Anolis sagrei: one gene and its partners. The protein of the gene in region 3 purifies or fractionates together with the protein of the main gene of each other region. This does not show direct contact. Links are inferred from orthologs where the notes say so. Each region holds a gene or a part of one and is shown on either strand. Other genes may lie near its edges. The genes, in order: KLHL12, MIOS, SEC13 and SEC23A.

The links.
Region 1: the proteins of SEC13 (region 3) and KLHL12 purify together in Homo sapiens (affinity purification with mass spectrometry; 3 studies listed by BioGRID and IntAct, with this or other methods). This does not show direct contact. The link is inferred for Anolis sagrei from reciprocal best matches to the Homo sapiens genes SEC13 and KLHL12.
Region 2: the proteins of SEC13 (region 3) and MIOS purify together in Homo sapiens (affinity purification with mass spectrometry; 5 studies listed by BioGRID and IntAct, counting the BioPlex papers as one, with this or other methods). This does not show direct contact. The link is inferred for Anolis sagrei from reciprocal best matches to the Homo sapiens genes SEC13 and MIOS.
Region 4: the proteins of SEC13 (region 3) and SEC23A fractionate together in Homo sapiens (co-fractionation; 3 studies listed by BioGRID and IntAct, with this or other methods). This does not show direct contact. The link is inferred for Anolis sagrei from reciprocal best matches to the Homo sapiens genes SEC13 and SEC23A.

Annotation. Positions count from the first base shown.
Region 1 is NC_090024.1:206,377,243-206,384,140, forward strand, and holds the start of KLHL12 (kelch-like protein 12), read left to right. Parts: upstream 1-3,896; 5' UTR 3,897-4,150; intron 4,151-6,708; 5' UTR 6,709-6,765; coding exon 6,766-6,898. UniProt on the Homo sapiens protein: Substrate-specific adapter of a BCR (BTB-CUL3-RBX1) E3 ubiquitin ligase complex that acts as a negative regulator of Wnt signaling pathway and ER-Golgi transport.
Region 2 is NC_090026.1:99,931,865-99,939,129, reverse strand, and holds the start of MIOS (GATOR2 complex protein MIOS), read left to right. Parts: upstream 1-4,252; 5' UTR 4,253-4,403; intron 4,404-7,265. UniProt on the Homo sapiens protein: As a component of the GATOR2 complex, functions as an activator of the amino acid-sensing branch of the mTORC1 signaling pathway. The GATOR2 complex indirectly activates mTORC1 through the inhibition of the GATOR1 subcomplex.
Region 3 is NC_090022.1:49,892,465-49,899,652, reverse strand, and holds the start of SEC13 (protein SEC13 homolog), read left to right. Parts: upstream 1-4,175; 5' UTR 4,176-4,190; coding exon 4,191-4,325; intron 4,326-7,188. UniProt on the Homo sapiens protein: Functions as a component of the nuclear pore complex (NPC) and the COPII coat. At the endoplasmic reticulum, SEC13 is involved in the biogenesis of COPII-coated vesicles.
Region 4 is NC_090021.1:303,519,751-303,527,093, reverse strand, and holds the start of SEC23A (protein transport protein Sec23A), read left to right. Parts: upstream 1-4,329; 5' UTR 4,330-4,547; intron 4,548-7,343.

The DNA of each region.
Region 1 (6,898 bases), on a different chromosome or scaffold from region 3:
AAGACAATATTAGGATTATTCTAAACACCATAGAATACCTCGAGAAGAACAACCAAGAAGAACTAGCACTACTAAGTCTTGACGCCGAAAAGGCGTTCGATAATCTCAATTGGAATTACTTAAAATTACTAATCAAAGAACTAGACTTAGGATATCAGTTCCATAATGCCATCAATTCAATCTATAACTCCCAAGAAGCCAGGATGATAATAAACATGCAAGAATCAAGCCCCCTGAAAATCTGTAAAGGCACGAGACAAGGATGCCCCCTGTCGCCTCTATTATTCATCCTGAGCTTAGAAACCCTTCTTAATTCTATCAGAGAGGATCCTGACTTAAGAGGCATCAAAATAAATAAGGAAAGATATAAACTAAGGGCTTTCGCGGACGACTTGTTGTGTATCATCAGCAACCCCATAGAAACAATCTCCAAATGGATAACTAAAATTAAAGAGTACGGGTCAGTAGCGGGCCTAAGGATAAATAAAAGAAAGACGGAGATACTAACTAAAAATATGTCCCAGAAAAGAAAGGAAGAGCTTTCCACCCTAACAGAATTTAAAGTAGTAGAGAAAATACGATACTTGGGAATAACGTTAACAGCTAAAAACTCCCAACTAATAAAAAACAATTATGAAAAGATATGGAAAGAAGTACAGAAGGATCTAGACAATTGGAAAAATCTGAAGCTGTCTCTGCTAGGGAGAATCTCTATAATAAAGATGAACATCTTGCCCAAGATGCTATTCTCTTTTCAGTCCCTACCAGTAATCAGAAATGTAAACATCTTCAAGCAATGGAACAAAACCATCTCCAAATTTGTATGGCAAGGGAAAAAGCCCAGGATCAAGCGTCTGATACTTATCGATGACAAAAGAAGAGGCGGCCCCGGCCTCCCAGACTTGAGGTGTTATTATGAAGCCTGCGGTCTGATATGGATCAGAGATTGGATCCTATTAACAAACAAAAACCTACTTTCCCTAGAAGGTGTAGACCTCAGGCGAGGCTGGCACGCCTATCTGCACTACGATAAAACAAAGATCGAAAGGAACTTTAACAATCATTATATAAGAGCAGGCCTAATGAAAATATGGGAGAGACACAAAAAAAGACTATATAATAAAACTCCACTGTGGCTCTCGTCCCTAGAAGCCCTTCACCGGAGAGAAATGGGCTGGCAACAATGGCCTACTTATCGCGACATCCTAGAAAAGGCAGAAGGAAAATATGTACTTAAAGATGAAAGGAAAATAAAAGAAATCTTTCCTAACCTCTCTTGGCTAAACTATAGACAACTGGTTGATAGCTACAAGATAGACAAAATCGCAGAATTTGCTGATCAAAATGGTTTCCTGGACAGCATATTGAAGACAAACAACAAACTTATCACAAAACTCTACAAAAAATTACTAGAGTGGACCACTGAAATGGAACAAGTAAAAAACTCAATGATCAAGTGGGCCCAAAACATAGGCCACCAAATTGAACTGAATAAATGGGAGAAAGTTTGGAACCAAAGAATGAAATTAACCTACTCATATGAATTAAAAGAAAATCTTGTCAAAATGATCCATCGGTGGTACCTGACTCCTCAAATCATTTCAAAATGTTATAAAAACACCTCAAACAAATGTTGGAAGTGCGAACACCAGATTGGGACTTTCTTCCACATCTGGTGGTCTTGCCCCATAGCCAAAAGATACTGGACAATGATTCAAAAAGATATTCAAAAGATCTTAGGAATACAAATAGAAAACAAACCAGAATTCTTTCTCCTGGGAATGTATGACATTAAGGAGGAAAAAAATAATGACAAATTATTCCATTACTTAATTACAGCAGCACGGATCGAATTCGCTAAAAAATGGAAACAGAGAGAAGCCCCTCAAAGAGAAGACTGGATCAATAAAATCCTTGATATAATGACCATGGATGAACTGACATATTGGGTAACACCAAACCATGGCATCCCAAGTAAACCTACGAACTGGGGCTTAGTAAAGGTCTTCCTTAAGAAATTGAAAATAGACATCATTTATTAAAAATAAAAATAAATAAATAAATAAAATCACAAAAGAGTAAATCACAAATCCAGTGTCGCAAGAAAGGAAGAAGCATTAAAGAAGCTAAACTGAAAATATTTATAGAAAATCCTCATTGAAGAGATGGAAGCTCAAAGTTTTTAACTACCCTATAGCCCACCCACCCCCCCTCTACCCCTGCCCCATCTTCATCCGACCCCTTCCCTACCTACCTCCCCACCCTACATCCCTTGGGAGTATCGCCAATAACAGGGCACCCCTGTATTTTTCCTACTGCACTATCCGCTATATATTGTTCTCCCTCTATCTATGTATTTATGTATCTATGTATTTAATAAAAATTTATTAAAAAAATAAAATAGTTTAACTTTTTTTTGTCATGTCAGGAGCGACTTGAGAAACTGCAAGTCGCTTCTGGTGTGAGAGAATTGGCCATCTGCAAGGACGTTACCCAGGGGACGCCCGGATGATTTGATGTTTTTATCATCCTTGTGGGAGGCTTCTCTCATGTCCCCACATGAAGAGCTGGAGCTGACAGAGGGAGCTCATCCACCTCTCCCCGGATTCGAACCCACTGCGCCACCAGGGATTCCAGTCATTTAACATTGGATCAAACTTAAAGAGCACTTTAAAAAAGTTATAGTTGCCCCTCTGTATTGGCAGATTCAGCCCTTTGAAGTCAACTATCAGGCAGATGGCGCCTTCAATGAGAATGAGTTTGAGGCCCCTTCCACACAGCTGTATAAAATCCACACTGAACTGGATTATATGGCAGTGTGGACTCAGATAACCCAGTGCAAAGCAGATACTGTGGATTATCTGCCTTGATATTCTGGGTGATATGGCCGTCTGGAAGGGCCCTGAAACCCCTGAGCTAAGGCCCCTTCTATACTGCCATATAAAATGCAGATTAGTTGTTTTCATAGAATCATAGAATCAAAGGGTTGGAAGAGACCTCATGGGCCATCCAATCCAACCCCCTGCCAAGAAGCAGGAATATTGCATTCAAATCAACCCTGACAGATGGCCATCCAGCCTCTGTTTAAAAGCTTCCAAAGGAGCCTCCACCACACAGAGTTCCACTGCTGAACGGCTCTCACAGTCAGGAGGTTCTTCCTCATGTTCAGATGGAATCTCCTTTCTTATAGTTTGAAGCCATTGTTCCGCATCCTAGTCTCCAAGGAAGCAGAAAACAAGCTTGCTCCCTCCTCCCTGTGGCTTCCTCTCACATATTTATACATGGCTATCATATCTCCTCTCAGCCTTCTCTTCTTCAGGCTAAACATGCCCGGCTCCTTAAGCCGCTCCTCATAGGGCTTGTTCTCCAGACACTTGATCATTTTAGTTGCCCTCCTCTGGACACATTCCAGCTTGTCAATATCTCTCTTGAATTGTGGTGCCCAGAATTGGACACAATATTCCAGGTGTGGTCTAACCAAGGCAGAATAGAGGGGTTATTTCCCTAGATCTAGACACTATGCCCCTATTGATGCAGGCCAAAATCCCATTGGCTTTTTTTGCCGCCACATCACATTGTTGGCTCAGGTTTAACTTGTTGAACTGGATTAGAGGGCAGTGTAGACTCATATAATCCAGTTCATAGTAGATAATGTGGGGTTTTATTCAGGTGTGGGAGGGACCCCAGAGAGCAAGCACTGCTCCATCTCCCTTGACTTCTGCTTGACTGAGGGACTTTATCACAACGCGGAGGCCGAAACGTAGAAACTCCCTGTTGCTTGGCAACCACAAGGAAGCCGAATCCCTCCGCCCGCGACGCGCCTTTTCGCCCATTCAGCCGCTAGGCGGCGAGGCTTCTCTTCGCGCAGGTTGAAACCAAGGAGCGGCGTCCTCGCGGCTGACGTCATCCAGGCGCGCCTGATGCGGCGGCAAAGGAAGAGGAGGAGAAGGAAGGAGCGGGACGGGCGGGCCGCAGGAGCCGGGACTCTCTCCCCTCCTCTCCCCTCCCCTCCCCGCGGGGAGGGCGCGGCCGACGGCACGGGCGGAGGGCCTGCTGGGAGGCGGAGAGGCGGCCCGGCCGGCCCCTTGCCGCCCGAGGAGGCTGAGCCGGGAGCCAGGCCTCTGGGCCGCCCCCCAGGAGGGAACGCCAGGTAAAGGAAGGAACACAGCCCCACTTGGCGGCCTGTCTAGTGTTATCAGGCCTTTGTCACTGAAGGCATTCCCTATTGGAAAACAAAGTATTCCGTTTCAATGTACCTGAATTCCTCTACACTAGTCATGGGCCAACTTGAGCCCTCTTTCCAGGTGTTTTGGACTTCAACTCCCACCATTCCTAACAGCCTCAGGCCCCTTCCTTTCCCCCCTCGAAAGGAAAGGGCCCGAGGCTGTTAGGAATTGTGGGAGCTGAAGTCCAAAACACCTGGAGGGAAGGCCCAAGTTTGCCCGTGCTTGCTTTAGATTCTGGTGAACTGTAGTTGTCATTTTACAAGACCTTCACCTTCCTCCCCTTCCTCAATGGTGGGAGTAGAAGTCCAAAACACCTGGAGGGAGGGCTCAAGTTGGCCCATGCCTGATCTACACTATGCAGTGGGATGTTTGGGTTCTAGTAATCATCATTTGAAACTCTATACCCCACCGTTACAAGGGATAAGGGTTTAATTTGTGGCTGCAGAGATAACAGCGATTACGAATTGGGTCCCTCTTTTTGAAACACTCAGCACTGTATATGATGTTGTGTAAAAAAAAAAGGCCTTCTCTGTGGTGGCTCCTGAGCTGTGGAACTCCCTGCCTAGGGATATTAGATCAGCCCCTTCCCTCCTGACCTTTCAAAAAAGAGTGAGCAAGCGTTTGGAACCACAGCATGACCAAAAACTCATATTGGAAATGAACTAGGGAACAACTAAGATAATGGAACGGTTGAGGATTTGAACAAGAAGACAGTTTATATAATTTTTATTAATCATTGGTTTTTATAGTTTTTAAATGTATTGTGATGTTTTGCTTTTACATATGTATGTATTTTTTAATACATGGCATCTAATTGTTGCCAACTTGTACGCCACCCTGAGTCACCCTCAGGCTGATATAGGCGGGATACAAATGTCTTAAATAAATAAATATTTATATCCTGCTTTTGGAGCCCCCAGTGGTACAGCAGGTTAAACCGCTGAGTTGTTGAACTTGCTGACCGAAAGGTCAGCAGTTCGAATCCATGGAGCGGGATGATCTCCCACTGTTAGCCCCAGCTTCTGCCAACCTAGCAGTTTGAAAACATGCAAGTATGAGTAGATCAATAGGTACCGCCCTGGCTGGAAGGTAACAGCGCTCCATGCAGTAATACTGACCACATGACCTTGGAGACTTCTACAGACAACACCAGCTCTTTGGTGTAGGAATAGAGATGATCACCACCCCCCAGAGACGGACACGACTAGGCTTAATGTCAAGGGGAAACCTTTACTTTTTTTTTATCCCACCCTATCTCCCCATGGGGTATACACTCCCAATGGGGTGTATATTAAAGCCAAAATAATGAAGGCATTATTAAATGTTTAACTTGTGACCTTTGGTCCACCATGTATTTACATCCCTACTGAGTATTCGTGGAGTCTAAACATTAAACTAATTCATGTTATATATACACCATATATATAGAGAGAGAAGTAGCCTGGAGGTAATTTTGTGCACAGTGTTTTTAATAATGTGTATGAAACATGGATTGTATTCATTGAACCATCAGAAAGCAAATATTTATTTATTTATTTACAGTATTTATATTCCACCCTTCTCACCCCGCAGGGGACTCAGGGCAGATTACAATGCACATATACATGGCAAACATTTAATCCCATTTAGACATGCAACATATATAGACACAGAGGTAATTTTACATTCCAGCTTTTCTGGCTTCATGAGGATATGACACTCAGTCATCCATGTGAACCAGGACAGTTAAAATAGTGCCAAACAGCATTAATTCTACAGTATAGATTAGGCATGGGCAAATTTCAACCTCCAGTTGATTTGGTCTTCAACTCCCACAATTCCTAACAACCAGACAAATTGAAGTCCAAAACGCCTGGAGGGCTGAATTTTGCCCCGGTATAGATGCACCCTAGATGCCCTCAGATACATCAGACACTTGATTTAAAAAATATTTTCAAGTTTTAGATGGTTGAATCCATGGAAACTAATGGCCAACTGTATTTTGAAAATTCGAATGCATCTTTTGTTAACCTTACAACTAATATACTAAAATTATATATACCATATGTGTGTGTATGTATGTATGTATACACACACAGTATAATAGGAAGATTTAAAAGTAATAGAAATGTATGTCTAACCTAGGCAACTTCTGAATTTTCCTCGCTCCATCTCCCTGCACTGTCACTGATCCACCTTTATTACATCTTGTCCTTACATCTGATGTTTGTATTATCTCAGTCTGTGGCTTTGTATTGTGTTGGTGTCCTACAGTGCACCTACTGCACATTTGATAATAAGCCAATATTTAATAGTTGATTATTTTGAGGTATATTGCAATGTAACTGAATAGAAGAGTTTGCATGAAAATGGCTAGAGCAGAATGATCTACAAGCTAATTTATAGATATGTACAGGAGAGACAAAGTTCCTCATTCTTCATCTTTAGACTTTGTTAAATTTGGCCTTGTGTTCATCAGTAAACAGATGTTTTTATCCCACAGGTTACTGATACGTTGAACCTGCCTCCACAGCTCTCTTGTTGGCTGGAGTAACTCACTATGGCTCCTAAAGATATAATGACTAATTCTCATGCCAAATCCATTCTCAATGCAATGAATTCTCTGCGAAAAAGTAACACGTTATGTGATGTGACCCTTCGTGTGGAACAAAAATACTTTCCAGCCCATCGGA
Region 2 (7,265 bases), on a different chromosome or scaffold from region 3:
ACTGCTGCAGCATCTACAAGCTTTTGTGTTCTCCCTGATTAATAATTTTGGCATCTTAGTCAAACCCTGATGTTCCTTAATCACATCTGAAATGTCAGAATGTATGAATTGCTGTGATAATTGGTGTATGTTTTTTCAGGCAGACTTAGAAATTGACTTCTCAAGCGCAAGAGGTTTAAGAGAAATTGGAATAAGCATGTCGGAAGTTCCCAAAATGATTATGTCTTCCCTGCATCTCTTTTTCTGCTGATGAACTGTGGATTTGAGCCCCACCTTGTGGTTTCCAATGGCATTTCTTTTCATTCAGGGCCTATTAATCATGAATTTGAAACTCTTGTGATTTAATCTTTGTTCTATGTCTTTTAATATGTGTTTTGTAGAAATACATTTCAATAGGTGTATGTTTATGATGATCATGTGTTGTAACCTGCCTCAAGCTATGAGGAGAGGCAGGTAAGAAATTATTATTATTTTACTGACACAAAAACATGGTATGACACAGCAAACGATATATATATGCTGGATTTCGTATCACAAAATCACAAATCAAATACTTTCCAAGTGTTTTGGACTGTGATATATTTGCGAATGATGCACACAGATTCAAGTAAGGTAGCCTTTGGCAGTTGACAGATCGTGATTTTGTCATAGTTTGTTTATTTATTTACATCACTTATATCCCGCCCATATCAGCCCGAAGGTGACACAGGGCAGCCGCAGGCGACTCAGGGCCAATGTTTGTTGTCAATGTTTATTGTTTTCAAATAGAACTTTTAGCACGGCACCCAGTGAGCCAATTACCATTGTACTGGTTTATGCCAGAGCCTTTGCAGTTCCAGTTTGAGGTCCTGATAATGGCTGAGTTTTTCCTTTTGTTTTTCATCAATTTGACTGTCACCTGGTATGGCGACACCAATAATCCAAACTTTTTTCTTTTCTATTATTCTTTTTTTCTATTATTATTGTTGTTTAACCCCTAAGAATAAAATAAAAGTGGTCTGTGTATTGTCGAAGGCATTCATGGCTGGAATCACTGGGTTATTGTGAGTTTTCCAGGATGTATGGCCATGTTCCAGAAGCATTCTCTCCTGATGTTTCGCCTGCATCTATGGCAGGCATCCTTAGAGGTTGTGAGGTCTGTTGGAAACTAGGAAAATGGGGTTTATATATCTATGGAATGTCCAGGATGGGAGAAATAACTGTTGTCTGTTTGAGGCAAGTATGAATGCTGCAATTGATCACCTTGATTAGCCTTTAATGGCCTTTCAGTTTTAAGGTCTGGCTTCTTACTGCCTAGGGGAATCCTTTGTTGGATATTGATTGTTTTGATTGTTTTAACTGTGATAATTGTTTTAACTATGGTTTTGTACATTGTGTGTAATTTTGTATAGGCATCAAATTGTGCCTTTTTTTAAGCCGCCCTGAGTCCCCCCTCGGGGGTTGAGAAGGGCGGGGTAAAAGTACCCGAAATAAATAAATAAGTGATCTGATTTTATTAAAATATTGATATCCCACTTTGTATCATGCGATATTAGGGTGCCATATACACATAGAATCATAGAGTTGGAAGAGACTCATGGGCCACCCAGTCCAACCCCCGACAAGACGCAGGAAAATCGCAATCAAAGCACCCCCCAACAGATGGCCATCCAGTCTCTGCTTAAAAGCCTCCAAAGGAGGAGCCTTCACCACACACAGGGGCAGAGAGTTCCACTGCTGATCAGCTCTCACACTCAGGAAATTCTTCCTAATGTTAAGGTGGAATCTCCTTTCTTGTAGTTTGAAGCCATTGGTCCGCGTCCTGGTCTCCAGGGCAGCAGAAAACAAGCTTGCTCCCTTTGCTTCCATCTACCATACCATTTCCATCTTGATTTTTACTTACAACTTGTTCAAGGTCACAATTGAGGTTAAACCTTTGAGGTTTACTTGGTTTTCTATTTCAATGATGCTGTGATTACTCTTAGGTAAGTGGCTATAAGATTAATTGGAAGTAAGTGGCTGCAAATGGGATTCTGCCTTATGGATAGAGCAATTATATGAATGTGTATTTGGCCATAGAGCTCTGCTGAGGCTTATTGCTAGGGTGGGTCCTATATAAGACCTAATGTAGGAATCAGCCTCATTGAACCCAGCAGAGTTCTATTGCTCCTTTTTCCCCCTGTGTCAGGAGTGACTTGAGAAACTGCAAGTCGCTTCTGGTGTGAGAGAACTGGACGTTGCCCAGGGGACAGCCAGTTGTTTTGATGTTTTACCATTCATTTTAGTTGCCCTCCTCTGGACACTTTCCAGCTTGTCGATACTTCTCTTGAATTGTGATGTCCAGAATTGGACACAGTATGAGGTCTGACCAAAGCAGAATAGAGTGGCACTCTGACTTCCCTTGATCTAGACCAGGGGTCCTCAAACGTTTTAAACAGAGGGCCAGGTCACAGTCCCTCAAACTGTTGGAGGGCTGGATTATAATTTGAAAAAAAAAACATGAATGAATTCCTGTGCACACTGCACATATCTTATTTGTAGTGCAAAACACTTAAAAAAATACAGTAATTAAAATGAAGAACTATTTTAACAAATATAAACTTATTAGTATTCCAATGGGAAGTGTGGGGCTGCTCTTGACTGATGACTGATTGTTGTTGTGTACTTTCAAGTCGTTTCAGACTTAGGTTGACCCTGAGCGAGGGCTAGGTAAATGACCTTGGAGGGCCGTATCTGGGCCCCGGGCCTTAGTTTCAGGACCCCTGATCTAGACACTATACTCCCTCTATTCTGCTTTGGTTAGACCACACCTGGAATATTGTGTCCAATTCTGGGCACCACAATTCAAGAGAGATATTGACAAGCTGGAATGTGTCCAGAGGAGGGCGACTAAAATGATCAAGGGTCTGGAGAACAAGCCCTATGAGGAGCGGCTTAAGGAGCTGGGCATGTTTAGCCTGAAGAAGATAAGGCTGAGAGGAGATATGATAGCCATGTATAAATATGTGAGAGGAAGCCACAGGGAGGAGGGAGCAAGCTTGTTTTCTGCTTCCTTGGAGACTAGGACACGGAACAATGGCTTCAAACTACAAGAGAGGAGATTCCATCTGAACACGAGGAAAAACTTCCTGACTGTGAGAGCCGTTCAGCAGTGCAACACTCTGCCTCGGAGTGTGGTGGAGGCTCCTTCTTTGGAAGCTTGTAAACAGAGGCTGGATGGCCATCTGTCAGGGGTGATTTGAATGCAATATTTTAAATATTTGAATGAAGCTTTTAAACAGAGGTTGGATGGCCATCTGTCAGGGGTGATTTGAATGCAATATTTTAAATATTTGAATGAAGCTTTTAAACAGAGGTTGGATGGCCATCTGTCAGGGGTGATTTGAATGCAATATTTTAAATATTTGAATGAAGCTTTTAAACAGAGGCTGGATGGCCATCTGTCAGGGGTGATTTGAATGCAATATTTTAAATATTTGAATGAAGCTTTTAAACAGAGGTTGGATGGCCATCTGTCAAGGGTGATTTGAATGCAATATTCCTGCTTCTTGGCAGGGGGTTGGACTGGATGGCCCATGAGGTCTCTTCCAACTCTTTGATTCTATGATTCTATGCAGCTCAAGATCGCATTGGCTTTTTAAGCTGCTGCATCACATTGTTGGTTCGTGTTCAGTTTGTGCCTTTGATTTTTAAAATTCGATGAAAGTGAATTTAAGTAATTTTACAAAATCAATACAAAATGAAATAAAATTTAGAATTTAGAATCCCCCCCCCCCCAAAAAAACCCCCACAGTAAGCCAAAACAAGCAAACAAAATGACACTGAATCTTGGTAATAAAGTCAGCAAATGCTAGGCTGAGATAGTAAATGTTGGGAGGCTTTCCTCGACACCACATCTTAAATACTGGTCAAATGCTCCTATTCTGTCATTTATTTTGCCAGGAAAAAAATTCGCATGTCCCCGCATGGGGAGCTGGAGCTGACAGAGGGAGCTCATCCGCGCTCTCCCTGGATTCGAACCTGCGGCCTATCGGGTCTTCAGTCCTGCCGGCACAAGGGTTTATTTAACCCACTGCGCCACCGGAGGATTCTATGTGGACAGAATTGCTCTGTCCATAAGGCAGAATCCCACTTGCAGCCACTTCCTGACTTCCTCCCCTCTGATCAGGGTGAGTCCTAGAGAAGACTTACTCTGATCAGAGAGGAGGAAGTCCCGCCCACCTCAAAGTCCTCAAAGTCACTTCTCTAGCCACGCCTTCCGGATGTAGTTGGGTTTGACGCCGGAAGTGGAAGCCTCTCTACAAGCTGGAGGCGCTGCCCTAGTGCCAGAGCTTTCCTAGATCTATGTCTGAGCCCTTGCCTGTCTCCCCAGACTGCTGTTGCTGCTTCACTCGAGGGTCGGAGTCCTGGAAAGGGGTCAAGGGGTGAGTCCCTCCCTTTCTCCCTTCCTCCCCCCAAACTCTTTTGTTTACTTTCTCCCCCCTCCTTCCCTCTCCTCTTTCTCTCTCCATCGCTCACCCCATTTCCCCAGTTTCTCTCTATTTCTCTCCCCAGTCTCTTGTTTCTTCGTCTATGTCTCCTTTTCTCTTTCCCTCCTTTCCCTCCTTTTCTCTTTCCCTCCTTTTCCTCACTTTTCCTCCTTCCCTCCTCTCCCCACCTCCCTATTATCCCCCTCTCTTTCTCCAATCTTTTTCTCTGGGTGTCATAAGGAAGAGAGAGCAGGCTTGTTTTTTGCTGCCCTGGAGACTAGGATTCAGAGCAGTTGGTTCAAATTACAGGAAAGCAGATTCCACCTGAACCTTAGGAAGAACTTCCTGCCCCTATGAGCTGTTAAACCAGGGGTCCACAAACTTTTGGACACAGTTTGAGGTCTGACCCTGAGAGTGCCTTGGACTGCGAGAAGATCCAACCAGTCCATCCTCCAGGAAATAAAGCCCGACTGCTCATTGGAGGGAAGGATACTAGAGACAAAGTTGAAGTACTTTGGCCACATCATGAGGAGACAGCAAAGCCTAGAGAAGACAATTATGCTGGGGAAAATGGAAGGTAAAAGGAAGAGGGGCCGACCAAGGGCAAGATGGATGGATGGCATCCTTGAAGTGACTGGACTGACCTTGAAGGAGCTGGGGGTGGTAACGGCCAACAGGGAGCTCTGGCGTGGGCTGGTCCATGAGGTCACGAATAGTCGGAGATGACTGAACGAATGAACAACATGAGGTCTGACCAAAGCAGAATAGAGTGGCACTCTGACTTCCCTTGATCTAGACCAGGGGTCCACAAACTTTTTAAACAGAGGGCCAGGTCACAGTCCCTCTAACTGTTGGAGGGCCGGATTATAATTTGGAAAAAAAAATGAATGAATTCCTATGCACACTGCATATATCTTATTTCTAGTGCAAAAAACCCACACTTAAAACAATACAGTAATTAAAAAGAAGAACAATTTCAACAAATATACAATTATTAGTATTTCAATGGGAAGTGTGGGCCTGCTTTTGGCTGATAATAGTAATAATAAACTTTATTTGTACCCCGCTCCATCTCCCCAATGGGGACTCGGTGCGGCTTACATGAGGCCAAGCTCAAAACAACAATTACATGAAATAAAACAAAACCGAAAACACAAATAATAAACAATAATAACACAATTGCATAAAACAAAAGACAACATAGCGATATAAAATTACAATAATCACAATAACATGGGCGAGCTACATGCATATATCTTATTTGCAGTGCAAAAAAACACTTAAAACAATACATTAATTAAAATGAAGAACAATTTCAACAAATATAAAATTATTAGTATTTCAACGGGAAGTGTGGGCCTACTTTTGGCTGATAATAATAATAATAATAATAATAATAGTAATAAACTTTATTTGTACCCCGCTCCATCTCCCCAATGGGGACTCGGTGCGGCTTACATGAGGCCAAGCCCAAAACAACATTTACATGAAATAAAGCAAAACCGAAAACGCAAATAATAAACAATAATAACGCAATTACATAAAACAAAAGACAACATAACAATATACAATTACAATAAACGCAATAACATGGGCGAGCTACATGTAATGGATAAAAGAAAACTGGGTAGAAACAGATTAAAAACTCAGGCGAGATAAACACAAGATAAACAAGGACAGATTATTTACGGAGGAGAGCTCGTTTCAGTGGAGGTCGTGAGAGACAGGATTGTTGTTATTGTTGTGTGTTTTCAAGTCATTTCAGACTTAAGCTGACCCTGAGCGAGGGCCGGGTAAATGACCTCGGAGGGCCGCTTCCAGCCCCCGGGCCTTAGTTGAAGGACCCCTGTGTTAAACAGTGGGACTCTTCTCTTCAGAGCATGGTGGAAGCTCCTTCCTTGGAAGCTTTTAAACAGATGGCCATCTGTCAGGGATACTTTATGCTTTTCCTGCATGGCAGGGGATGGGACTAGATAACCCATGTTGTCTTTCCCAACTCTATGATTCTTGTATTGTTGAAGGCTTTCATGGCTGGAATCACTGGGTTGTCGTGTGTTTTCCGGGCTGTATGGCCATTTTCCAGAAGCATTCTCTCCTGACGTTTCTCCTTCATCTATGGCAGGCATCCTCGGAGGTTGTGAGGTCTGTTGGAAACTAGGAAAATGGTTTTATATATCTGTGGAAGGTCCAGGGTGAGAGAAAGAACTCTTGTCTGTTTGAGGTAGGTGTGACTGTTTCAATTGGTCACCTTGATTAGCATTCGATGGCCTGACAGTTTTTAGGTGTGGCTTGCTACTGCCTGGGAAAATCCTTTGTTGAGAGGTGATTAGGACCTCACAACCTCTGAGGATGCCTATCACAGATACAGGCAAAACGTCAGGAGAGAATGCTTCTAGAACATGACCATACAGCCCAGAAAACTCACAACAACCCTCTATGATTCTTCCTTCCACCTTCTCTCCCTCTCCTCTCCTCTCAGTCTCCTTTGGGTGTGTGTGTGAACCTTCACAAAGTTTTCTAGACAATATATTTCAAAAGGGCAGGGAGGTACCTCCAGCTTCATCTAGGGCTGAGAAAGTGTGCCTCACCTAATGGGTTTTATTGACTGAATGGGGGATTGTAACCCAGGTCTCTTAGACTCTCAGCCAGAAACCTTGAGCAAATTGTCTTTCCCATTGCCATATGCACCATTTCTTCTGATTTGCCGGGGATAGTCCCAGCTGATCTTCTGTTGTCTCACTTCTTCTGTATTAAAAATGTCCCAGGCTGCATCATCACAGTGTAACAATAGCCTCAGTCCATTTTAGTTAGTTTTGC
Region 3 (7,188 bases):
CGCGGGTGAGCGGGCAGCGCCCCCTGGCGGCAGACATCCGCAGCGGCCTCTCCAGTTACATTCAGCAGCAGAAAAAAGAGGAGGAGGAGGAGGAGGAGGGAAAGAGAAACAGGATCTTCCCTCCTCTTTCCCAGTGGATCATTGCTGCAGTGGAAGAAATGCAAGGGTTGGCTAACACGTCACACTCTTACCTTTGTCTTCTATACTGTGAATCTATATTGCAGAGTAATAATGATCTATATAAATAAAAATGTAATGTTCGCTTGTGGGATTAACATAACTCAAAAACCGCTGGACGAATTGCTGACAAATTTGGCCACAAGACACCTACTAACCCAAGGAGTGACCAACACTAAAAAAATGATTTTGTCATTTGGGAGTTGTAGTTGCTGGGATTTATAGTTAACCAACAATCAAAGAGCATTCTGAACTCCACCAATGATGGAATTGAACCACACGCGGCACACAGGACTCCCACGACAAACAGAAAACCCTAGAAGAGTTTGGTGGGCATTGACCTTGAGTTTTGGAGTTGTAGTTCCCCTACATCCAGAGAGAACTGTGGACTGAAACAATGATGTATCTGGACCAAACTTGGCATGAATATTCCATGCGCCCAAATACGAACAAAGATGGAGTTTGGGGGAAATGGACCTTGACATTTGGGAGTTGTAGTTATTTGGATTTATAGTTAATCTAAAATCAAAGAGCATTCTGAACTCTACCAATGATGGAATTGAACCAAATGTGGCATACAGGACTCCCATAACAAATAGAAAACACTAAAAGCATTTGGTGGGCATTCACCTTGAGTTTGGGAGTTGTAGTTCACCTATATTCATAGAGCACTGTGGACTCAAACAATGATAGATCTGGACCAAACTTGGCACAATTATCCCATATGCCCAAATATGCACACAGATAAAGTTTGGGGGAAATAGACCTTGACACTTGGGAGTTGCAGTTCCTGGGATTTATAGTTCACCTACAACCAAAGAGTCGCCCTAAAGGGCTGAGAATGGCGGTTAATAAATGCATCAAATAAATAAATGCATCAAAGAGCATTCCGAACCCTGTCAATGACAGAACTCGAGCAAACTTCCCACACAGAACCCCCATGACCAACAGAAAATACTTAAGGCCACCCAGTCCAACTCCCTTCACCAGGGCAAGAAAACGTTATCAAAATCCTCCTGACAAAGAGCCATCCAGCCATAGATAGATATATATGATTCACACACAGAGAGATATAGTATTATAGATTTGAAAGGGACCCCTAAAGAAGGACAATTATATGTTGCATGTTCCAGAGTAGGCAAACTAGACAATCTTCACATCAACACTGACAAAGAAACAACAAGAAATACTGTTTACCCACAAGCATAAATAAATTACATACAGTATATTAGAAACCAACACTTTCTCATTACTTTATTTTCCAGATCACCAGACTGGGCCACAGCAACGCATGGCAGGGGGCGGCTAATAATAATAATAATAATAATAATAATAATAATAATCTTTATTTATACCCCGCCACCATCTCCCCAAGGGGACTTGGGGCGGCTTACATGAAGCCGAGCCCAGCAGTACAGTACAACAATATGCAACAGGACACAGCAAAAATATAAAAATAAAATAAAGTACAACACAAAACCACTTTAAGAACACATCAACAATATAAAATCACAACATTTGAAACACAGAGATTGATCATATTGAGTGGGCTGATTTCAATGGATTAAAAATTTAAAAACACTGCTTGAGACAGCAGTGTAATGTATCTGGACAGGGGATCCAGAAAAATAGAGTAGTGTGAGATTGCACAGCAGGTAAAAGAACGTGCTACTGAAGGCATTTTTCCAAAGGTAGGTCATGTCAGGGTATTACTGTTCAGAATGAATGCAACATGACAGCACTTTCAACTTCCATGGCCCACTGCTATGAAACCATGGGATGTGTAGTTTTTATCAGGACTTCCATGACAAGGAGGAAACTACAAACTACAACTCCCAGGATTCCATAGCATTGAGCTATGATAGTCAAAGGAGTGTCAAGCTGCATTATTTTAGGACCCAAGCTTTAGAATCATAGAGTAGGAAGAGACCTCAGGGGCCATCCAGTCCAACCCCCTGCTAAGAAGCAGAAAAATTGCAATCAAAGCACCCCCGGCAGATGGCCATCCAGCCTCTGTTTAAAAGCTTCCAAAGAAGGAGCCTCCACCACGCTCCGGGGCAGAGTTCCACTGCTGAACAGCTCTCACAGTCAGAAAGTTCTTCCTAATGTTCAGATGGAATCGCCTTTCTTGTAGTTTGAAGCCATTGTTCTGTGTCCTAGTCTCCAGGGCAGCAGAAAACAAGCCAACTCTATCCTCCCTAAGACTTCTCCTTGCATATTTACACATGGCCCTCATCATGTCTCCTCTCAGTCTTCTCTTCTGAAGGCTAAACATGCCCAGCTCTTTAAGCCGCTCCTCATAGGATTTGTTCTCCAGATCCTTGGTCATTTCAGTCGCCCTCCTCTGGACACATTCCAGCTTGTCAATATCTCTCTTCAATTGTGGTGCCCAGAATTGGAAACAATATTCCAGGTGTGGTCTAACCAAGGCAGAATAGAGGGGCAGCATGACTTCCCGAGATCTAGACAGTATTCTCCTATTGATGCAGGCCAAAATCCCATTGGCTTTTTTTGCTGCCGCATCACATTGTTGGCTCATGTTTAACTTGTTGGCCACAAGGACCCCAAGATCTTTTTCACACGTACTGCTCTAGAGCCACGTGTCCTCCATTTAATTCATAAATTGATAGATCGTGATGTACTTTAATTTTAGATGTTATGTTATAATTTGTTTTTATATGCTGGGTTATAAGGAACCCCCGGTGGCGCAGTGGGTTAAAGCGCTGAGCTGCTGAGCTTGTTGACCGAAAGGTCATAGGTTCGAATCTGGGGAGCGGCGTGAGCTTCCGATGTCAGCCTCAGCTTCCGCCAACCTAGCAGTTTGAAAACATGCAAATGTAAGTAGATCAATGGGTACCGCTCCAGTGGGAAGGTAACGGCGCTCCATGCAGTCATGCCGGCCACATGATCTTGGAGGTGTCTACGATCAACGCTGGCTCTTTGGATTAGAAATGGACATGATCACCACACCCCAGAGTGGGACACGACTGGACTTAATGTCAGGGGAAAACCTTTACCTTTACCTACCATTGTAATGCTAGGAAGTCATAGAAGTTGTAATTTGGAACTACATTCTTTGACAGAGAAGGCTAAAGGCCTTGGAAAAAATATTTATTTATTATTTATTTATTTACAGTATTTATATTCTGCCCTTCTCACCCCGCCGGGGACAAACATTCAATGCCAAAGACACACAACAGATATAGACAGACAGGCAGAGGCTATTTAACTTTTTTCTGGCCACCAGGGGAGCTGTTGCTTTCATCGTCCATCTGTGACACTAATGAAGTACTAAGGAGCCCCCGGTGGCGCAGTGGGTTAAACCTCTGTGCCAGCAGGACTGAAGACCAACAGGTCGCAGGTTCAAATCCAGGGAGAGGTGGATGAGCTCCCTCTATCAGCTCCAGCTCCTCATACGGGGACATGAGAGAAACCTCCCACAAGGATGATAAAAATATCAAATCATCCAGGCGTCTCTTGGGCAACATCCTTGCAGACAGCCAATTCTCTCACACCAGGAGTCACTCCTGACACGACAAAAAAATAATAATGAAGTACTTCCGCATTCCCAGCATGCTTTTGCTGGAGTCTTTTTTCTTGCCTCATAAATTAGTTAAATTATCCTCCCCACACCTAGGTGGTACCTAATTTTCCTACTTGACAGATGCAACTGTCTTTCGGATTGCAAAGGTCGACAACAAGCTACACAAATGGTCGGAAGCTCACTCCGACCCGGGCTGGCTTTGAACTCATTCATGACCTTTTGCTCAGAAGTGATCTTAATGCAGCTGACACTCAACCAGCTACGCTACAGTCCCGGTGCTACATTTCCCGGGATTCCTGAGCACTGAGACGAGGCATGTTAAGTGGTGTCGAACTGCATTCATCCTCCAGTGTCGGTGAATCGAGGCCTGGAACCTCCACTTCGTGCAGTGGAGGAGGAGGAGAAGGAGGAGGAGGAGGAGGAGGAACCAAGCTGCAGGCGGAACCTTTGTGCCGCCTACAGGGGGACGATGTTTCCGCCCGGACGCGCTTCCGTGTTGGACCCACGCCTCGGCGGCGCTTTGCCACGTCTGAGTGCTGCCGGGAGAGCCGTGTCTGCAGCCGGGTTCGGTCCTGCCGAAGGTCCCTCCGCCGTCGCCGCCATGGTGAGGAGCTGCCCGGGGATGGGTAGGAGGGAGGAGGCCCAGCGGAGAAGGCGAAAGGCCTTGTCAAACAGGCCTGGGCCAACTTGGGCCCTCCAGGAGTTTTGGACTCCAACTCCCACCATTCCTCACAGCCTCAGGCCTTTTCCTTTTCCCCCCTCAGCCGCTTAAGCCCAAGTTGGCCCAGACCTGATTACACGTCTTTCCCTTCCCTAACTTGGAGGCTGAAAGGCAGTTCTGTACTTTGTTCCATACTACTAGTGTTCAAAGGTGAATCCCCTCCCCTGAGTTATACCTTGCTGGAGGCTCTTCTCACAGGGTTGCTTGGGTTTGTTTTAAAGGGCGCTTACCTTGCACTGTTTTGAAAGCGAAAACTGGATTAGTGCGAAAAGGATAAACTCTGGATCGGAAAATCTTCTAGTATGGTGAGATTGTTGTTGTTTAGTTCTGTACTGGCTTGACAGTTCAGTTTATTGGCTGTGAAATGGGTATAGTACTCTTGTCTGCTTGAGGCAAGTGTGAATGTTGCAGTTGGCCATCTTGATTAGCATTGAATAGCTTTGCAGCTTCAAAGACTTGCTGCTTCCTGCCTGGGACATCCTTTGTTGGGAGGTGTTAACTGTCCCTGATTGTTTCTTGTCTGGAATTCTCTGGGGTTTTTTTTTAGTGTTGTTCTTTATTTACTTTCCTGATTTTAGAGTTTTTTAAATACTGGTACCCAGATTTTGTTCATTTTCATGGTTTCCTCCTTTCTGTTGAAATTGTCCACATTGTGGATTTCAATGACTTCTCAGTGTAGCCTGACATGGTGGTTGTCATAGTGGTCCAACATTTCTGTGTTCTCAAATAGTATGCTGTATACAGGTTGGTTCATCAAGTGCTCTGCTATGGCTGTGTAGGATTTCTGTAAACTGTGTGGCCCATCACGTAACATGAAAGGCATTGCAGACAAATTCAACCAAAGAAGTCAGCCATAGCAGAGTTTAACCACCTTGAGTTGCCTATAGGCTGAGAAAGGCGGTATACAAGCTTCCGGTTCCGGTATGGTGGCTGGCAGCAAACGCTGGGCTGCTCAGCCAAATTTTTCAATCTGGGGGAATCCGGAGCCCCCCCCCCCCCCTGCCTACCATCTCTTAGACGGGGGGTGAGAGAAACCCAAGCCTCAAGCCCCTGATAGAGGGGCGGAAGACCGGAAAAGAGGCTGGGGAAGGCGAAAAAACCCGGGAGATTGAGAAGGGGAAGGAGACGCCCGCCATCTTACCGCCTTCTAGTACGGCCGCCGAGATCGCTGCAGCTGCCGTTGTCGCTACCGTTGGCCCGCTGCCACCATTGATGGTAGGAGGATCGTTGCGAGGGCCACTGGCAGGCTGCTGAAGGGCAGCGTGAGGGAGGACGCCTGGTCGCCGCTGGGCCGCCGCGGCCGAGGGCAGCCTGGCCGGAAGGAAGGGCCGAGGGCTGCCTGGCCCCCTCCGCCGTGCCGCCGGGCCGGCGAATCGCCGCCTACCAGGTGACGAGTGACGAACCGCCGCCGGGGAGCGAGGAAGCCTGAAGCCGGGTGACGGGCCGCCGCTCCGAGCCGCCGAGCCGCCGAGCCGCTGAGCAGCCGCTGCCGGACCATTGCCGCCGCCGCCGCCGGCCGCCGGGTGGGGGGTTGGGCGCTCCCTAGCCCCCGCAACCGCGGCCGGTAGAGAGTCATCGCTGCGGCTTTGCCGGGCTGCTGGGCCACTGCTGAGTTGCTGGGCCCGTTTTTGGCCATCAGGCGAGTCCGTCTTCACCCTCCATTTTAGACGAGCTTCACCCTCCATCTTAACGAGCTTTTCGAGTCTCTACACCGAGCTCCCCATTGTCGGCTGAACCCATCTCGCCTCTCATCTTCACCCGCCGGTACAGAGGACCTCGTGCTGCCAACCTCCATCAGGCTATTGTTGAAACCGAGGGCCGCTTGGCCGGAAGAAAGGCCGAGTGCTGCCAGCTGCAAAGTCATCGTTGCTAGGCCCCACTGGGTTGCTGGGCCGCTGTTGGGCCGCCGAGCCATTCCACCTTTGGGCAAGTCCGCTTTTACTGAATGCTACTCTCGTGTAGACAGCTGTGCGGACCTTTGGCCGGCATTCGGGTTCTCTTTTTGTTTGGAGATCTTTAAGCTGGTTTCCCCTCTGTTTCCCCTCTGTGATCCTCTGAGCAAAGTGTGACTAACCATCTGTGCTGCCCCACCCCCGAGGTACCAACTCCGGAAGCCTATCCGCTGGTTACCAACCGTCTAAGCCCGATTGGGGGTCATAGCAATATTAGTTAACCACTACCATTATCGTACACGGGTAGTTGTATAATTATCAACTAGCACCTCCCGGTAGTCCTTGTTGTTATTGTTATCATTGTTATAAGAACGATTTGGAACACCCAAGCGTCTTCCATCTGCTGCTAGATTGCATCAGCACTTTCACCCCTTCCCTGTCCCTCCGTGCCGCACTTTATACCGTTAAGTAGAGCACTTTAGATCTAGCATTTATCAATGTGCTTTTGAATGTGTGTTGCTGCTGAGTAATTTACGATCATTTACGATCATCCTCGTTCATTGACGGACTGTTCCAGAAATTGTTGCACTTTAAGAACTTTAAGAATTGGCACTTTAAGACCTGACGATATTTTGCACTTTAAGAACTGGCTATATCGATACCACCATCTGAATCGTCGCCACCCATGTGGTCCCCTGCCCCCCTCTGGATACTGCTTACGTTGCTCTGCTGTGGCGGAGGGGGCGGAAGAGGAGGTGGCCCGGAACCTGGGATTGAGAGTGTGGTGGGGAGGGGGGAGGAGGGGGAGGGGGGATGCTGGCAAGAACTAATAAGCTTAACAACAAGCATAGGAG
Region 4 (7,343 bases), on a different chromosome or scaffold from region 3:
TAATGCCCAGCGCCTTTTATTTACATAGCTCCGCCTCCTCCTGTCGTAGCCTTCTTTGGCTTGCTTTTCCAAGCCTGGAGGAATGATGGAAAGTCTCAGTTTAAGGCATTTTGGACGTCAATTTCTTAATTCTTAGGTCATGCTGGATGGAAATTGCAGTGCAACTGTCAGGAGGGCCAGATCATCATGATCTCCAGGAAAAAAAGGATTTCTCTACTTTGAAGGGATGGGGAAATACAACACCTATTAAAGATGATCATTGATGCTTAGTGGAACTATTTAGGGCAAAGGGAAGAGGTCATCAGACACAAAAGCAAATACTTCTGTTTGGCACCATCTCCTATGGGAGGTGTTTACAGAAAGAACACATAATAATAATAATAATAATAATAACAACAACAACTTTATTTATACCCCGCTCCATCTCCCCCAGGGGGACTCGGTACAGCTTACATGAGGCCAAGCCCATCAGTACAGTACACAACACAGGTATATTATTACTAATATTATTATTATATAATCAGAATATATTATTATTAATATATTATTAATAATATATTAATAGTATATTGGGGTTAAACCACTGAGCTGCTGAACTTGCTGACTGAAATGTTGGTTTGAATCCGGGGAGTGGGGTGAGCTGCCATTGTAAGCCCCAGCTTCTCCCAATCTAGCAGTTTGAAAGCATGCAGACGTGAATAGATCAATAGATACTGCTTCTGTGGAAGATAATGGTGCTCCATGCAGTCATGCTGGCTGCATGACCTTGGAGGTGTCTATGGACAATGCCAGCTCTTCACCTTAGAAATTGAGATAAGCACCACCTCCCAGCAGGCCCGTAGCCAGGATTTTGATTCGGGCGGGGCTGAGTCTGAGTGAAAGAGGGTCTACCCTAGCAAACCTTTTGTATCGTTACCCCAATACCCCCATGCATATGGGATATATTGAGCATGGTGATCAGATCATGATATGAATAAACAGATCATGATATGAATAAACATATGAATAAATAGTTGAAATAATGGATCAGTAAGGCCTTCTTGCGGACCACCCTGAGAATTTCGGGGGGGGGGGGGCTGAAGCCCCTCAAGCTCCCCCCCCCGGCTACATGCCTGCCTTCCAGAGTTGGACATGACTAGACTTAATGTCAAGGGGAAACCTCTACCTTTACTAATAATATATTAATATATATTATTAATTATTCATCTGCAGCAAGGCCAATACAATTCTTGACCAAAACAGAGCAGAATCCTGAAGAACCGGGGAAACCATTGTGAAAGGAGGGTGATTTTGCTACACTGAAATCCAAGGATGAAAAAAGTGTTTGCAAATGAAATCAAGCACATATAAATAATCTGCAATAAGGAAGGGTGATAGGGTACTTGACAAAAATAAGCACCTGTTAAAAAAGGAGTCCAACTCTACATCTTTCATCCCTAGGAAAAATTGTAAGACACATCAAAATACTGAGAGTGCATCTACACTGCAGAATTAAGGCAGTTTGACACTTTAACTGCCATGGCTCAATGCGTCATGATACAAATATACACTCAAAACAATTATACCATACTGTATTTTTTCAGCTGGCAAATTCCCCCAGCCATCAATAGCAATACATTTGTTAGTGTTAAAGCATTCTGATTTTCCTCAATATAACATGAGGAACATAGATGATGGACCTCCAAAATGTACCTCTTATCACCTTACAGTTCTGCATGAAATCCCCCCCCCCCCGTCCCCACAAGTGTTTTGGATTTTTCCGGATGTTGGAATATCTGTATTTCCATATAGATACATAACGTAAAAGCCAAGTCTAAAAATGGAATTCATTTGTTTCCTATAAACTTTACATGCATGTTCTGAAGGTACTTGTATGCAATATTTTGAATAATTTTGTATATGAGACATAGTGTGATTCACTGAATTATCAGAAAGCGAAAATATAGAAATTATCTCAGCCACCCATTTGGGCAATTCTGGTTTTCAGAATTCCAAAAAAGCTACACACAACCTGTACCAGAGTATTGAACAAATCAGCAACTATTTTTTAAAAAAACAGCAGCAATAACAACACTGTGTTCTTATAACACGGGCAAATCAATGAAACTGCATGCTATGAAGCATTGGATTGGAATCATTATGGCCCTGTCTACACTGACCATTTAGTGCAGTTTCAAACCAGTTTTTGAAGAAAGTGGTTTGGCTGTGCAAATGACCACATAGGAAATACTACATAGAACTGGTGTAAGGCACGGATGGCGATTATACAAACTGCAGAGCACTGATGCGCATCAAGGGCTTTCTTTTGTGGTGCTTTTGCAGGAGTTTGTTGTCTGGCTGCCACAGTTTGAAGCCAACTTTGTATTGCATTAAATGGGCAGTGTAGATGAGGCCAATGGCAGCGTTGACCGGAGCATATGCACATTCGGAGGTTCACAAAGTGAATGAGCAGAGTGTGTTTTAGCTTGCAGGTGTAATATTGTGGGACATGTAAACTGGGCTTGTGAAAAATGTGTTTCATCTAATAATAGGATTTTTAAAGAGATTCTGCTGAAACACTTGCACAAACATTTTAAAGAGAGACAGTCTAGTGTTGTTTGCACCACCCAAATGATACTCTGAATGCGCCTTCAAGTTGCATAACAATTTATGGCAACACCCTGAATTTCATCGTGTTATTTTAGGCAAGGAATCTCAGAGGTGGTTTGGCCAGTTCCTCCCTCTAGAAAAAAGCCTACAGCACCTGGTATTTGTTAGCTAGTACCATCCAAGAACCAACACCAGGGTTAACCTTGTTTAGCTTCCAGATGAAAAGGGATCTGGTACTTTTAGCCTGTTTCATCATAGACTATCACTTGTGGCCGAGTATGATTGCCTGCCAAGTATGATTGGCCGTGGGTCCATAGGTGACTTGACTGGACCCGCATGTTCTTTCGCAGAGAGGACATTGATTTTCAGATGGAAGATGGTCTTGACAAGGGGTGGCTTGACGCACCTTCCTTTGAAACATTTCTCCCTTTCGCCCTCCATTAGTGCCTCTTTGAATTCCACAGCACTGCTTGTCACAGCTGACGTACAGTTAGAACGCTCACGGGCCAGACTTTCCCAGTTTATGCCACAGTTTTTAAGTTTAGCTTTAAGTCCATCTTTAAATCTCTTTTCCTGTCCACCAACATTCCATTTTCTGTTTTTGATTTGGGAGTAGAGTAACTGCTTTGGGAGTCGGTGATCGAGCATTTGGACAATGTGGTCCAGGGGTCCTCAAACTTTTTAAACAGAGGGCCAGGTCACCGTCCCTCAAACTGTTGGAGGGCGGGATTATAATTTGAAAAAAAAGTGAATGAATTCCTATGCACACTGCACATATCTTATTTGTAGTGCAAAAAACACTTAAAAACAATGCAATAATTAAAATGAAGAACAATTTCAACAAATATCAAATTATTAGTATTTCAATGGGAAGTGTGAACCTGATTTTGGCTGATGAGATAGGATTGTTGTTATTGTTGTGTTCTTTCAAGTTCTTTCAAAATTAGGTTGACCCTGAGCGAGGGCTGGGTAAATGACCTTGGAGGGCCTCATCCGGCCCCCGGGCCTTAGTTTGAGGACCTCTGATGTGGTCAGTCCAGCGGAGTAGATGGCGTAGGAGCATTGCTTCAATACTGGTGGTTTGCTTCTTCCAGCACACTGACATTTGTCCGCCTGTCTTCCCAAGACATTTGCAGGATTTTTTGGAGGCAACGCTGATGGAAATGTTCCAGGAGTTGAGCGTGACATCTGTAGATAGTCCATGTTTTGCAGGCATATAGGGTTGGGAGGACAATAGCTTTATAAACAAGCACCTTGGTCTTCCTATGGATGTGCCAATCCTCAAACACTCTCTGCTTAATTCGGAAAAATGCTGCACTCGCAGAGCTCAGGTGGTATTGTATTTCAGTGTCAATGTTGACTTTTGTGGAGTGGTGGCTGGCAAGATAGCGGAAATGGTCAACATTTTCTAATGTTACACCATTAAGCTATATTTCTGGCATCGCAGAGGGATTGACTGGTGACTGCTGGAAGAACGGGCATAGGCAAACGTGGGCCCTCCAAGTGTTTTGGAATTCAACTTCCAACAGTCTCATCTTAAGTGGCTGAGGGGGGGGGGGAAAGAAGAGGCCTGAGGCTGTTAGGAATGGTGGGAGTTGAAGTCCAAAACACCTCAAGGGCCCAAGTTTGCCCCCCATCACTGTTAAATAGTGTGCAGGCACACATATAGCAGTGTAGCCTCTCCTCCTCCTCCTTCTGTCTCTCTGTGTATCTGAGGCGGGGCCTGCTTCTCTGGCCGCCGCCTCCTGCTCTCCTTCGCTCTGCCTCCGACGTGGCACCGGCTTCCCCATCAGCCATGTTTGTTTGCGTCGGCGGCGCTGGGTCCAGAGTGCGGCGGGGAGGCTGAGAGAGGCCCAGAAAGGCTGAGGGAAAGGCCCCCGCCCCTTCCTCCTCCTCCTCTTCGGCAGCCGAGGGGCGCAGACCCAGTCCCAGCGAGGCCTCGACTTGGTGTGGCTGAGGTAAGTCGCTCTCAGGAGGGCCCAAGTTTGCCCATGCCTGGCTTACACTGTAGTTTGTAGTTGTAGCCTCCTGACATCCCTGTAACTGCCCTGGCTCAGTGCTTATAGAGTCCTGGGAGCTGTGGTTTCAGTTGTTGTCAATGCAAAGAAGGAAAAGAAGAATTTAACACCACGCCTCCTTTCCTTTTCGCCCTTCCCTGGTTGCCTGAAGAGAGTGGAAGTATAAGGGAGCACAGCACCCACACACTGTAAAATTGGTGTTTTCTTTTGAGCACCTCTATAACTGCCATTACTCCACAGCATTGAGCCATGGCAGTTGCTCAAAGCCTTCACTCAAGGCTATGGTGGTCATAGGAGTTGTAGTTTATTAAGGTCTTTTGCTTCCTCTTGCCCCAAAGGGTTGTTCCTCACCAAACTACAACTCCCATTATTTATCCCACAGCATTGAGCCATGGCGGTTGCTCAAAGCCTTCACTCAAGGCTATTGTGGTCATGGGAGTTGTAGTTTATCAAGGTCTTTTGCCTCCTTTTGCCCCAAAGGGTTGTTCCTCACCAAACTACAACTCCCATTAATTATCCCACAGCATTGAGCCATGGCAGTTGCTCAAAGCCTTCACTCAAGGTTATTGTGGTCATGGGAGTTGTAGTTTATTAAGGTCTTTTGCCTCCTCTTGCCCCAAGGGTTATTCCTCACCAAACTATAACTCCCATTAATTACCCACAGCATTGAGCCATGGCAGTTGCTCAAAGCATTCTTGGGGATCTATCTCTCCCAGAATATTCTTTTTTTAAAACAATTATTGCCACCTGGCAGACACCAAAGGGTGACAAAGACATGGACAAACAGACTGAAGGATACAATAATAATAATAATAATAATTTGGATCCCCCAAATTATTATTATTATTATTATTATTATTATTATTTGGAAACAATAAACATTGACAAAATCACGATCTGTCAACTGCAAAAGGCCACCTTACTTGGATCTGTGTGCATCATTCAAAAATACATCACACAATCTTAAGACACTTGGGAAGTGTTCGACTTGTGATTTTGTGATACGAAATCCAGCATATAGATCTCGTTTGCTGTGACATACTGTGCTTTTGTGTCAATAATAATAATAATAATAATTTGGAAACAATAAACATTGACAAAATCACGATCTGTCAACTGCAAAAGGCCACCTTACTTCGATCTGCACGCATCATTCAAAAATACATAATACATCACACAGTCCTAGATGCTTGGGAAGTGTTTGAGTTGTGATTTTGTGATACGAAATCCAGCATATAGATCTTGTTTGCTGTAACATACTGTGTTTTTTGTGTCATTAAAATAATAATAATTAAAGTAAAGGTGGTCCCAGTGGTGATCGGCACACTGGGTGCAGTGCCTAAAGACCTTGGCCTGCACTTAAACACAATTGGCGCTGACAAAATTACCATCTGTCAGCTGAAATAGGCCACCCTACTTGGATCTGCATGCATTATTCGCCGATACATCACACAGTCCTAGACACTTCGGAAGTGTCTGATGTGTGATTCTATACAACAGCTAGCATAGTGATCTTGTTTGATGTGTACTAATCTTGTTATGTTTCATAATAATAATAATAATAATAATAATAATAATCTGGCAAAAGAAGACTCTCTGTGGACAGGGGTTGGATTGGATGGCCTACAGGGTCTCTCCTAACTTTATGATTCTATGATAGTTTCTGGGAAAAACTGAGAGCAAAACTGACAAGGGAAAAACATAGATGTGGCTCCTAAAAGTAACTTTGAAAAAGGAGACTGATTCTTGCAGCCTAAGAACAAGCAATTAGAACCAATGCCATCCAAGCCAGAATTGAAAAGTTGATGACAGATCCCAAGTGTCGACTCTGCAAGGAAGCAGATGAAACGATGGATCATATGCTTAACTTCTGCATGATGATCGTGTAGACTGACTACATGCAGAGGCATAATACTGTTGCTCAAATGATCCATTGGAACTTGTGCCACAAATACTATCTGCCTTTGACAAAGAACTGGTGGGATCACAAGCCTGGAAAAGTTGCAGAAAATGAACACGTCAGACTACTTCCGAATTCAGACTTCGGTCTCCTTTTTCAAAGTTCCATTTGTGAGCCACATCCATGTTTCTTCTTTGTCAATTTTGTTCTCAGTTTTTCCCAGGAATTGTCCATGGAGAGCTTTCTTTTGCCAGTCTTCTCTTCTGCATTGTATTTTTACGGTATTCCCTCTTTGTCTTTTGCACTTTAAGCAGTTTTCTACTATTGGCTTCCATCAATGTTGGTTCTTGACTGTCCTTCACATAATCTGCCAGTACATGTTAGTCTTCTTCTACTGTTTGTTTCACTTGCAGAAGCCCTCTGCCTTCTGATTTTCTGGGCAGGTAAAGTCTGTCAATATCACTATGAGGGTGAAATGAGTAGTGGATTGTCATCTGTTTTGTTGTTTTTCTGTCCAGATCATCCAGCTCTGCTTGTGTCCAGTTCACAATTCTAGCACTGTATCTGATGATGGGGATGGTCCAGGTGTTCATAGCCTTGATCGTATTTCTGCCATTTAATTTGCTCTTCAAAATATTTCTGACCCTTTGGACATATTCTGTACTGACTACATTACTACTACTACTACTACTACTACTACTACTATTATTGGACAGTTTGAATTTTGGTGTATTTCCAAAATGCACCAGATGAGATATTCTCAATTGGTGCCACTTATAGATAGAGGGTTTATGCTGAAGGAGTGTGTGAGTGAGTCCCTCTTTGGAGGTTGAGAA